Oryctolagus cuniculus: one gene and its partner. The protein of the gene in region 1 purifies or fractionates together with the protein of each later gene. This does not show direct contact. Links are inferred from orthologs where the notes say so. Each region holds a gene or a part of one and is shown in the gene's direction. Other genes may lie near its edges. The genes, in order: NOP2 and RPL18A.

Region 1 (4,453 bases):
ACCCTCGCCTTCCTCCTGCCCATCTTCCATGTTGTAAAGGAACAGCCCCCGTGCACTGGGGAGGGGAGGGAGTGCGGGGCAGTGGTGCCCTTCCTGCTGGAGATTCGGGCAGCAGCAGCAGTAGCGCCGGCGCCATCTGCAGGGAGCTGGCGGGCTGGCCTTCTGGACCCTGGCTTCCCCCACTGTAACGTCTGTTACACACAAACTGTTGTGGGTTCCTGCCGGGCTTGAAGAAAATGATCTGAATTTCTTCCTCCTTTTGGTTTTATTTTGCTGGTTTATTTTGTGTTTTCTCCTTTTTGGGGTATTCAAGAGTGGGCCGGGCCCCTGGGTGAGACACAGCTACCTCTGTTGGCATCTTTTTAATACCAGGAACCCAGCGGCTCCAGCCACTGTGCGGCTAGAGTGAAATAAAGTGGAAAAAAAAAAAAAGGAAAAAGAACCAAAAGCATAAAAAACCGCAACAAATTTCTTGATCAAAATTGAAAATAAAAGTTTCCTTGTATTTTAGTCCTCTGGTTCAGTGTGGGTGTAGGCGCAGCTGGGTGAAGGTGAAAGGCAGGAGCCCCCCTGAAACTCATCGGATATTTAAGGGCTGCTTCGAGCCATCCCCCCATCCCCTCCCAGAAGAGACCGGAGCCCCCAGCACCGTCCCGGGGTGCCTCCGGACGCGCAGTCCCCGGCACCGCCGCCTGGTGGCGCTGTGGCTGCGCCGAAGTCCACTTCGGGCTTCAGACTGCCGGTCGGGGCGCCTGATTCTGTCCCGGTTGCCCCTCTTCCAGGCCAGCTCTCTGCTGTGGCCCGGGAGTGCAGTGGAGGATGGCCCAAGTGCTTGGGCCCTGCACCCCATGGGAGACCAGGATAAGTACCTGGCTCCTGCCATCGGATCAGCGCGGTGCGCCGGCCGCAGCGCACTGGCCGCGGCGGCCATTGGAGGGTGAACCAACGGCAAAGGAAGACCTTTCTCTCTCTCTCACTGTCCACTCTGTCAAAAAAAAAAAAAAAAAAACCAGCCGCCTCGTAGGGCGGCGAGCAAAAACCGGCGAGGCGCTTGCGGGGAGCCGTTCCGAACGTTTGAGCAGCACCTCGGTGCTGGTTTGCAGTGGAACTCATGGGATGCCGGCGCACAGGCTGCAGCTTGACCCAATGAGCCATAATAGCAGCCCAGAGATTGAGCTGTGTGAGACGAGGATGCAAGATGCCTCCCTCGCCCTCCGGATGGGCACTGGGTCGGGTGGACTGACGGGGCGATCAGGGCTCGGGCCACCCAGGAAGCGGGTTTCCTAGCCACAGGCTTGGGAATGCGGGAGAGGCGGCAGGGAATTTCACTATCTGGAGGCGGGACCTGGGGCACCCGTTGTGCCGGAGTCGAGAGCATGGGACGGCATTCGCGCACCAGCGTTTCCGACTGAAGCTGGCCGCGAGGGACGGTCAGGCACGCCGAGAACAGTTGTACCTCCATCTCCGGCAGCCCTCAGCCGGCGGCGCGGCCGGGCCCGGAGGGACCGGAAGAGGCGGGGCCGCGGGCGGTGCTTCCCGTGCGCCTGCGCGGGCCGTTTCCGCGCACCGAGGCCTGCGAGGGTTCCCCGGGTGCACGTGGAGCGCCGTGCTCGCGCTGAGCCCGCTTTCGGGTGAGCGGAGGCTGCGGGTGGCCCTGGAGGGAGGCGGAAGGCAACAGGTGCCCGCCGACCGGGACCGGGACCGGGGCGTGGGGAGAGGAGCGCGGGCCCCGGCCCTCGGGACGCCAGGGCGGCTTAGCCGGCCTCGAGCGGGCTGCCGGGGGTACGTTTCCCAGCGGGATAGAAACCCGTATCCGCGTTGCAATATTCGCAGCGCCACCTCCTCCCCGTTTCTCTTCTTTCCAGCACCATGGGGCGCAAGTTGGACCCTACAAAGAAGGCGAAGCGCGGGCCGGGCCGAAAGGCCCGAAAGCAGAAGGGTGCGGAGACGGAGCTCCTCCGTTTCTTGCCTGCAGGTAAGGGCGTGGGCCCCCCAACCCCCAGTCTAGTCTGTTCGCCGTTCTGCGTGTTAACCGCTTCCCCGTTTTAGCGTCCGTGGATCCCTCTGTGTGTGAGTGACGGGGAGGTGAGTGCTAGCGAAAGGCTGTCGTGGGCGCGTGGAACGCGAGGGGACTCGGGTAGCCGAGCGAGGGGTTGTGACAGTTGTCGTGAATCTGGGTTTTGGAAAGCAGGTTACCTATTAGCAAGTGGAAGTTGGGGAAGGGGCGGGCCAGTCGGAGCTGCCCCGTGGGAGGGATGGAGCTGAGAAAGGAAGGTGGGGGGGGAGACTGCCTGGGGAGCGGGTGTCGGGCATTGGCTGAAAGATGCGATTTATTGACTTGTTAGCAAGTCCCAGGTGCTCTGCGCAACTCTGGGCTTCATCCTCCTAAGTCCTGGAAGAGAGGCACCGGGAAGGCGATGGATGTTGAGAGTTTTAAGTGACTCACCTGCAGTTATGAAATGACTGGGGTGATGTTTAAACCTTTTATTTCTTGGAGAATGCATGAAAAACAGCAGTAGTGAAGTGCATTGAACTTGGGAAAGAAAGGGCGGAAGAAAACTTGAGAATCCATGTGGTCAGACTGGTGATGAGGCTGTTCCTTGAAGCCTGCGGGGAGGCCCACTTTGGATTTAGTTGTTGAACAGTCTCCTTACATCTTTTTAAAGATATTTGAGAAGCAGAGAGAGATCTTGCTTCTGCCTACTGGTTTACCCCCCACCCCAAATTCTTGCAGTGGCTGCAGCTAAGGCCAAAGCTGGAAGCCAGGAACTTAATCAAGGTCTCCTACATGGGTGACAGAGACCTGCTGCCTTCTAGATGTGTCATTAGCAGGAAGCCTAGATGGGGGCAGAGCAAGGACTTGAACCCCGACTCTCCAGTGTGGGGTGCAAGCGTCTCAGCCTGCAGTGCAGCTGTGCCGGGCTCAGTCCCTAGTGAGGAGCTGTGGTGAGAGCTTCAGTCTCCGGGCTGTTATGGCTCAGTGGGTGATGCTGCTGCTTGCTGTACCGGCGCATCCCACTTCAAGACCCAACTGCTCCACTTCCGGTCCGGCTCCCTGCTAATGTGCCTAAGAAAGCAGTGGAAGGTGGCCCAAAGGCTTGGGCCCCTGTAACTCACCGGAGAAACCTGGATGGAGGTCCTAGCTCCTGGCTTTGGTCTGGGCCAGCCCTGGCCATTGTGGCCATTTGGGGAGTGAACCAGTGGATAGAAAATTGCGTGCACATTGTCTCTTTCTCTTAATCTCTGTAACTCCACCTTTCAAACAGTAAATTCTTTCTAAAAAAAAGTTAACAACCTCTTCGTTTTTAAGGGCTATACTAATTCTCTTCCCACTTTTATTTCTGCTCCCAATTCTCGTTTTCACTTCTCCTATAATCTCTTCTGCCTCTTCTTTTATTTCAGCTGATGACGAAAATTCCAAGAGACTATCCAGTCGTGCCCGAAAGAGGTAAGTGTGGGGTCCAGATTTGCCAAGATTGAATGGGTCCTGCTCGTCTTAAGCCTGGTGGGATGGGTCAATGGAGAGTGCTGACCGTGGACTCCTGCGTTTCCGCCTGGGGGATGTGGCAGAGCCCGGAGGTGTGTCCCTTCTACCTCACTGCTGTGTTTTTCCAGGGCAGCCAAGAGGAGGTTGAGCTCTGCTGAAACTCCCAAGACAAATAAGCCTCCTGGGGCCAAGTCCTTGCCCGGAAAGCTCCCCAAAGGTCAGTGAACACAGGAGGTGGGGGCTGGGTTCCAGGGAACTCACTGAGCATTTCCGAAGGGCAGCGAGTGCAGGCCCCAGGGGTGTGGGGCAGGCGGCTGAGTCTTAGGTTCTTTCAAACTCTCAGGGGTCTCTGCAGGAGCCGTGCAGACTCCTGCTAAGAAGGGAGCCCCCCCTTCATTTGACACTGCTCGGGGCAAGAAGCGGCCAGCTCCAGCCCACAGCAGCGATGAGGAAGAGGAGGAGGAAGAGTCTGAAGAGGATGGTGTGGAGAACCAGGGGGGCCTCTGGGACTCAGAGGACAGTGATGCTGATGTCATAGACGACTACGGGGCCGACTCCGGCTCCGAGGGAGAGGATGAAGATGAAGAGGTGAGAGTTGCCTCCCTGGGTGTTCGTAAAGGATCCTTGCCTTTCAGTTCCTTTGTAGACCCTTGTGGCTGCGTACGCCTGACTGAGGAAGGGGATTGTTCCATCTCTGTTTCCCTGCCGCTTTCCCTCCTCACTCAGTGCACTTGCAAATTTTTTCTTTTTTTTAAAGATTGATTTATTTGAAAGAGCATGGGGGAGTGTGATGGGGAGACAGAAAGATTGATCTTCTGTTTGCTGGTTCATTCCCCAAATGGCTGCAATAGCCAGGCCTGGTCCAGGCCAAAGCCAGGAGCCTGGGACTCTGTCTGGGTTTCCCATGTGGGTACAGAGGCCCAAGCCCTTGGGCCATCCTCCAGTGCCTTCCCAGGTGTATTAGCA
Region 2 (3,532 bases), on another chromosome or scaffold:
TTGCCCCTCGCGCGGCCCTTCCCCGTCTCGCCGCCCCCTCCCTCCGCCCCTCCCCCAGGCCCCTCTCGCACCCTCTAGGGATGTGCAACCCAGGCCCCCGTGCCGGCCCTGCCCGGGGGAAACGGGCTCTGCTGCCACCTGGCGGCCGCTCGCGGTAACGCTCCGGGGGCGTGGCTCTCCGCCGACACCCGCCCGCCAATTCCCGCACAACAGGATTGCGGGGCTCCGGGAAGCCTGGAGCCAGCACTGGGGGGTCAGCTGCCACGGGGGAGACCCGGATGGAGCTCCTGGCTCCTGGCTTTGGCCTGGCCCAGGCCTGGCTGCTGTGAGCTCTTGGGGCGTGACCAGCAGGTGGAATCTCTCTCTCTCTAACTCTGCCTTTAAGTAAGTAAATAAATAAATTTTTTAGAAACCGTGGATTGCATTATTTAAAGGCGGGCCTTCTATGACGTGGAAATCAATTCTCAAGCTGCTCGGCGTTTGAGGATTTTTTAAAATTTATTTGGAAGGCGAGAGGCCGAGCAGCCGGTGCGTGGGGCGACGCGGGCGGATCCGGGACTCCAGGCCTGGGGGAGGGCTGGAGGCAGGCCGACACGGCTGCTCCCGGGCTGTGCACGGGTGGGCGGGAGGTCCTGGTCTGCGGGGGCGGCGTCTCTCCGCCCCCACCTCCGCTCCACGGGGGCCCTGGGCGAGGAGAAGCCGGGCGCCCCGTGGGGGCGGGGGGCGGCTCCCCTGCGGCCATGCCCTGTGGTCACGGTTAGGACCCCCCCCCCAACGCCATGGCCTGCGGTCAGGGTGAGGACCCCCGTGCGCGGGGAAAGGGTGCATGTGGCCGTCCGCTGAGGTCCCGGGGGCACAGCCCGGAGGTGGGGGCCTCCTGGGAGAGGTGGCGCCCCCCCCCTAAGCCGGGCCGCCGCCACCGCCCTGATGCACCTCACGGCCGGGGGACGGCGACCGCCCCCAGATTCGCCCCGGCAGATCTGAGCAGGCCCCCAGCTCCCGCGAGCAGACAGCCTCTCCCTGGGACAACCCTCCCCACCCCGTGGATACCCCTGCCCGCCGAGGCAGGGGCAAGGAAACCGGGGCAGCTGCTTCCACTCAGAATAAGCGTGGCTTGCTTGGTTAATAAAAACTTAACCCCTGGAAAAACATTTATGTGGAAGACAGAGACTGCTCCAGCTGCTCATTCACTCCCTACCAAAGCCGTCCGCTGCCTACAACTCCCGGCGTGCTCGGAAATCGGAAGCTCCGTTACGTCCGCGCCGGAATACGTGCGCATTGCCGCGCTACCTCCTGGGAAGTGTAGTCCGGCTGCGAAGAGAGGCGGGGTAGTGGGTGGCAGGCGGAACTGGAGCCAATGACAAAACAAGGCTCCGTGAGCGCCAGGACAAGGAACCAATGGGCGCGTCGCGGCGAGGCGGCGGGACTTCCGCCGGCGAACCCGTGGAGAGCGGCTGCGCGAAGGAAAGGACTTCCTTTTCGAGGGTGGCGGCCATCGCGGACGGAGCGCCATGAAGGCTTCGGGCACAGTAAGGCGGCCGCGGCGCGGCGTCGGGGCGGGGGGCGCGGCGCGGGCCCTGGTGGGGGGCGCGGGGAGCGGACGGGGCCCCGCAGCTGGAGCGCGCCGCCGCCCGGGACCCCGATGGCCGCGCTCGGGAGCGGCCAACATGGCGGCGGGCGCCGCGTGGGGAGCGGGTGCGGGCCGGGCGGGGCGCCGCGCGGGGTTGCGACCTCCTGCCCGGGACTGGGGGCTGGGGTGGTCGCGGGTGCCGCGTGGGGAGCGGGCCCGGGCGGGGCGCCGCGCCGCGCGATGTGGCGACCTCCTGCCCGGGGCTGGGGGCGGGCCGGGGATTGACGCGGGGGTCGCCGGCCCCGGCTGACGCGCGCGTCCCCGCAGCTGCGGGAGTACAAGGTGGTGGGCCGCTGCCTGCCCACGCCCAAGAGCCCCGCGCCGCCGCTCTACCGCATGCGCATCTTCGCGCCCAACCATGTGGTGGCCAAGTCGCGCTTCTGGTACTTCGTGTCGCAGCTGAAGAAGATGAAGAAGTCGTCGGGCGAGATCGTGTACTGCGGGCAGGTGCGCCGGGGGCCGGGCGGCGTGGCCGGGGGGCGGCGGGGGTGGGGACGGGCCGGGGCGGCGCGGGGGGCTCCGGGGGCGGCCGGGGCGGAGCGGGGGGTCCGGGGCGGGGCGGCGGGGGGCGGCCCGGACCCTCACCCGCCCGGCCGGCCGCAGGTGTTCGAGAAGTCGCCGCTGCGCGTGAAGAACTTCGGCATCTGGCTGCGCTACGACTCCCGCAGCGGCACGCACAACATGTACCGCGAGTACCGCGACCTCACCACGGCCGGCGCCGTCACGCAGTGCTGTAAGCGGGGACGGGGGGCGCGCGCGGGGAGGGGGGCGCGCGCGGGGAGGGGGGCGCGCACCCGAACCCCAGAGCCGCCGCGCGCCGTGGCCGCGGCTCCAAGCGGGGTGCGCACAGCAGCGGGGCCTCGTCGCCTCCGGGGGGCTGCGGGTGCCCCCGGGAGTGAATGCGGAGGCCGCACACGCGCGGCGGGGCGGGCGGGGGTGGTCCCTGCGGTGCCGGCCGCCCCGCCCTCACCGCCCCACCCGCCCCGCAGACCGCGACATGGGCGCCCGGCACCGCGCGCGCGCGCACTCGATCCAGGTGATGAAGGTGGAGGAGATGGCGGCGGCGCGCTGCCGGCGGCCGGCCGTGAAGCAGTTCCACGACTCGCGCATCCGCTTCCCGCTCCCGCACCGCGTGCTGCGGCGCCAGCACAAGCCGCGCTTCTCCGCCAAGAGGCCCAACACCTTCTTCTAGGCCCGCGCCCCAATAAACGCCCGCAACCTGGCCCGCCTCCGCCTCCGTGTGCGCCTGCGCCGTGCGGGGCTGGGGGGAGTCCAGGCGCCGAGCCGGGCGGGTCGGGGACATCGCGGGTGCCGCCCCCTGGGGCCTGAGGGGCTCGGACCGCGGGGGGCTGATGAGCCAGGAGCTCCATCCGGGTCTCCATGGGACCTGCGCCGTCATCCACTCGCCCAGGCCTCAGCCTGGCTCTTGGGACGCAACTTGGGGCCCCCGCAGTGTCCTGGGGAGGAGGTGGGCACCGAAGCCCGAGAGGCGCTGGGGGCACCAGACTCCGGGCAGCGCCTGCGCACCCGCCCTGAGCGCGGGGCGACCCAGTCCGAGGGTAGCTGGGGGTCCTCCCCCCTCACGTCCCGTGGAGTCGGGGTCTCGCTCTGCCCCGGCGGTGGGCCCGATGGCCTGCGCTCCTGCAGCCCCCGTGGGCCGTGAACACAACAGGAAGTCGGTGACCGCTCACCCTCTGGGCCTCAGGGGTGGCTCCGTGCCAAGCGGAGCTAGGGCGTCCGGGTGCGGTCCCTGCGCTCGGGGGGCGGGGCGGGGGTTTTCCCGGGAGCTGCGGGGCACAGGACGCAAACCAGAGTTTCCACCCCAGAGTTGGCACAGGGCTGGGGCCGGGGTCCCACGCGCCGCTGCCTCCGGCTGGGGGTGTCCTCTGGCCCCTTGAAGGG

The links.
Region 2: the proteins of NOP2 (region 1) and RPL18A purify together in Homo sapiens (affinity purification with mass spectrometry; 3 studies listed by BioGRID and IntAct, counting the BioPlex papers as one, with this or other methods). This does not show direct contact. The link is inferred for Oryctolagus cuniculus from reciprocal best matches to the Homo sapiens genes NOP2 and RPL18A.

Annotation. Positions count from the first base shown.
Region 1 is NC_091440.1:102,934,554-102,939,006, forward strand, and holds the start of NOP2 (28S rRNA (cytosine(4447)-C(5))-methyltransferase), read left to right. Parts: upstream 1-1,485; 5' UTR 1,486-1,631; exon of another isoform or gene 1,632-1,782; intron 1,783-1,865; 5' UTR 1,866-1,869; coding exon 1,870-1,975; intron 1,976-3,402; coding exon 3,403-3,448; intron 3,449-3,615; coding exon 3,616-3,704; intron 3,705-3,830; coding exon 3,831-4,075; intron 4,076-4,453. UniProt on the Homo sapiens protein: S-adenosyl-L-methionine-dependent methyltransferase that specifically methylates the C(5) position of cytosine 4447 in 28S rRNA. Required for efficient rRNA processing and 60S ribosomal subunit biogenesis.
Region 2 is NC_091447.1:65,465,116-65,468,647, forward strand, and holds RPL18A (large ribosomal subunit protein eL20), read left to right. Parts: upstream 1-1,309; 5' UTR 1,310-1,511; coding exon 1,512-1,529; intron 1,530-1,897; coding exon 1,898-2,077; intron 2,078-2,233; coding exon 2,234-2,363; intron 2,364-2,417; exon of another isoform or gene 2,418-2,548; intron 2,549-2,619; coding exon 2,620-2,822; 3' UTR 2,823-2,852; downstream 2,853-3,532.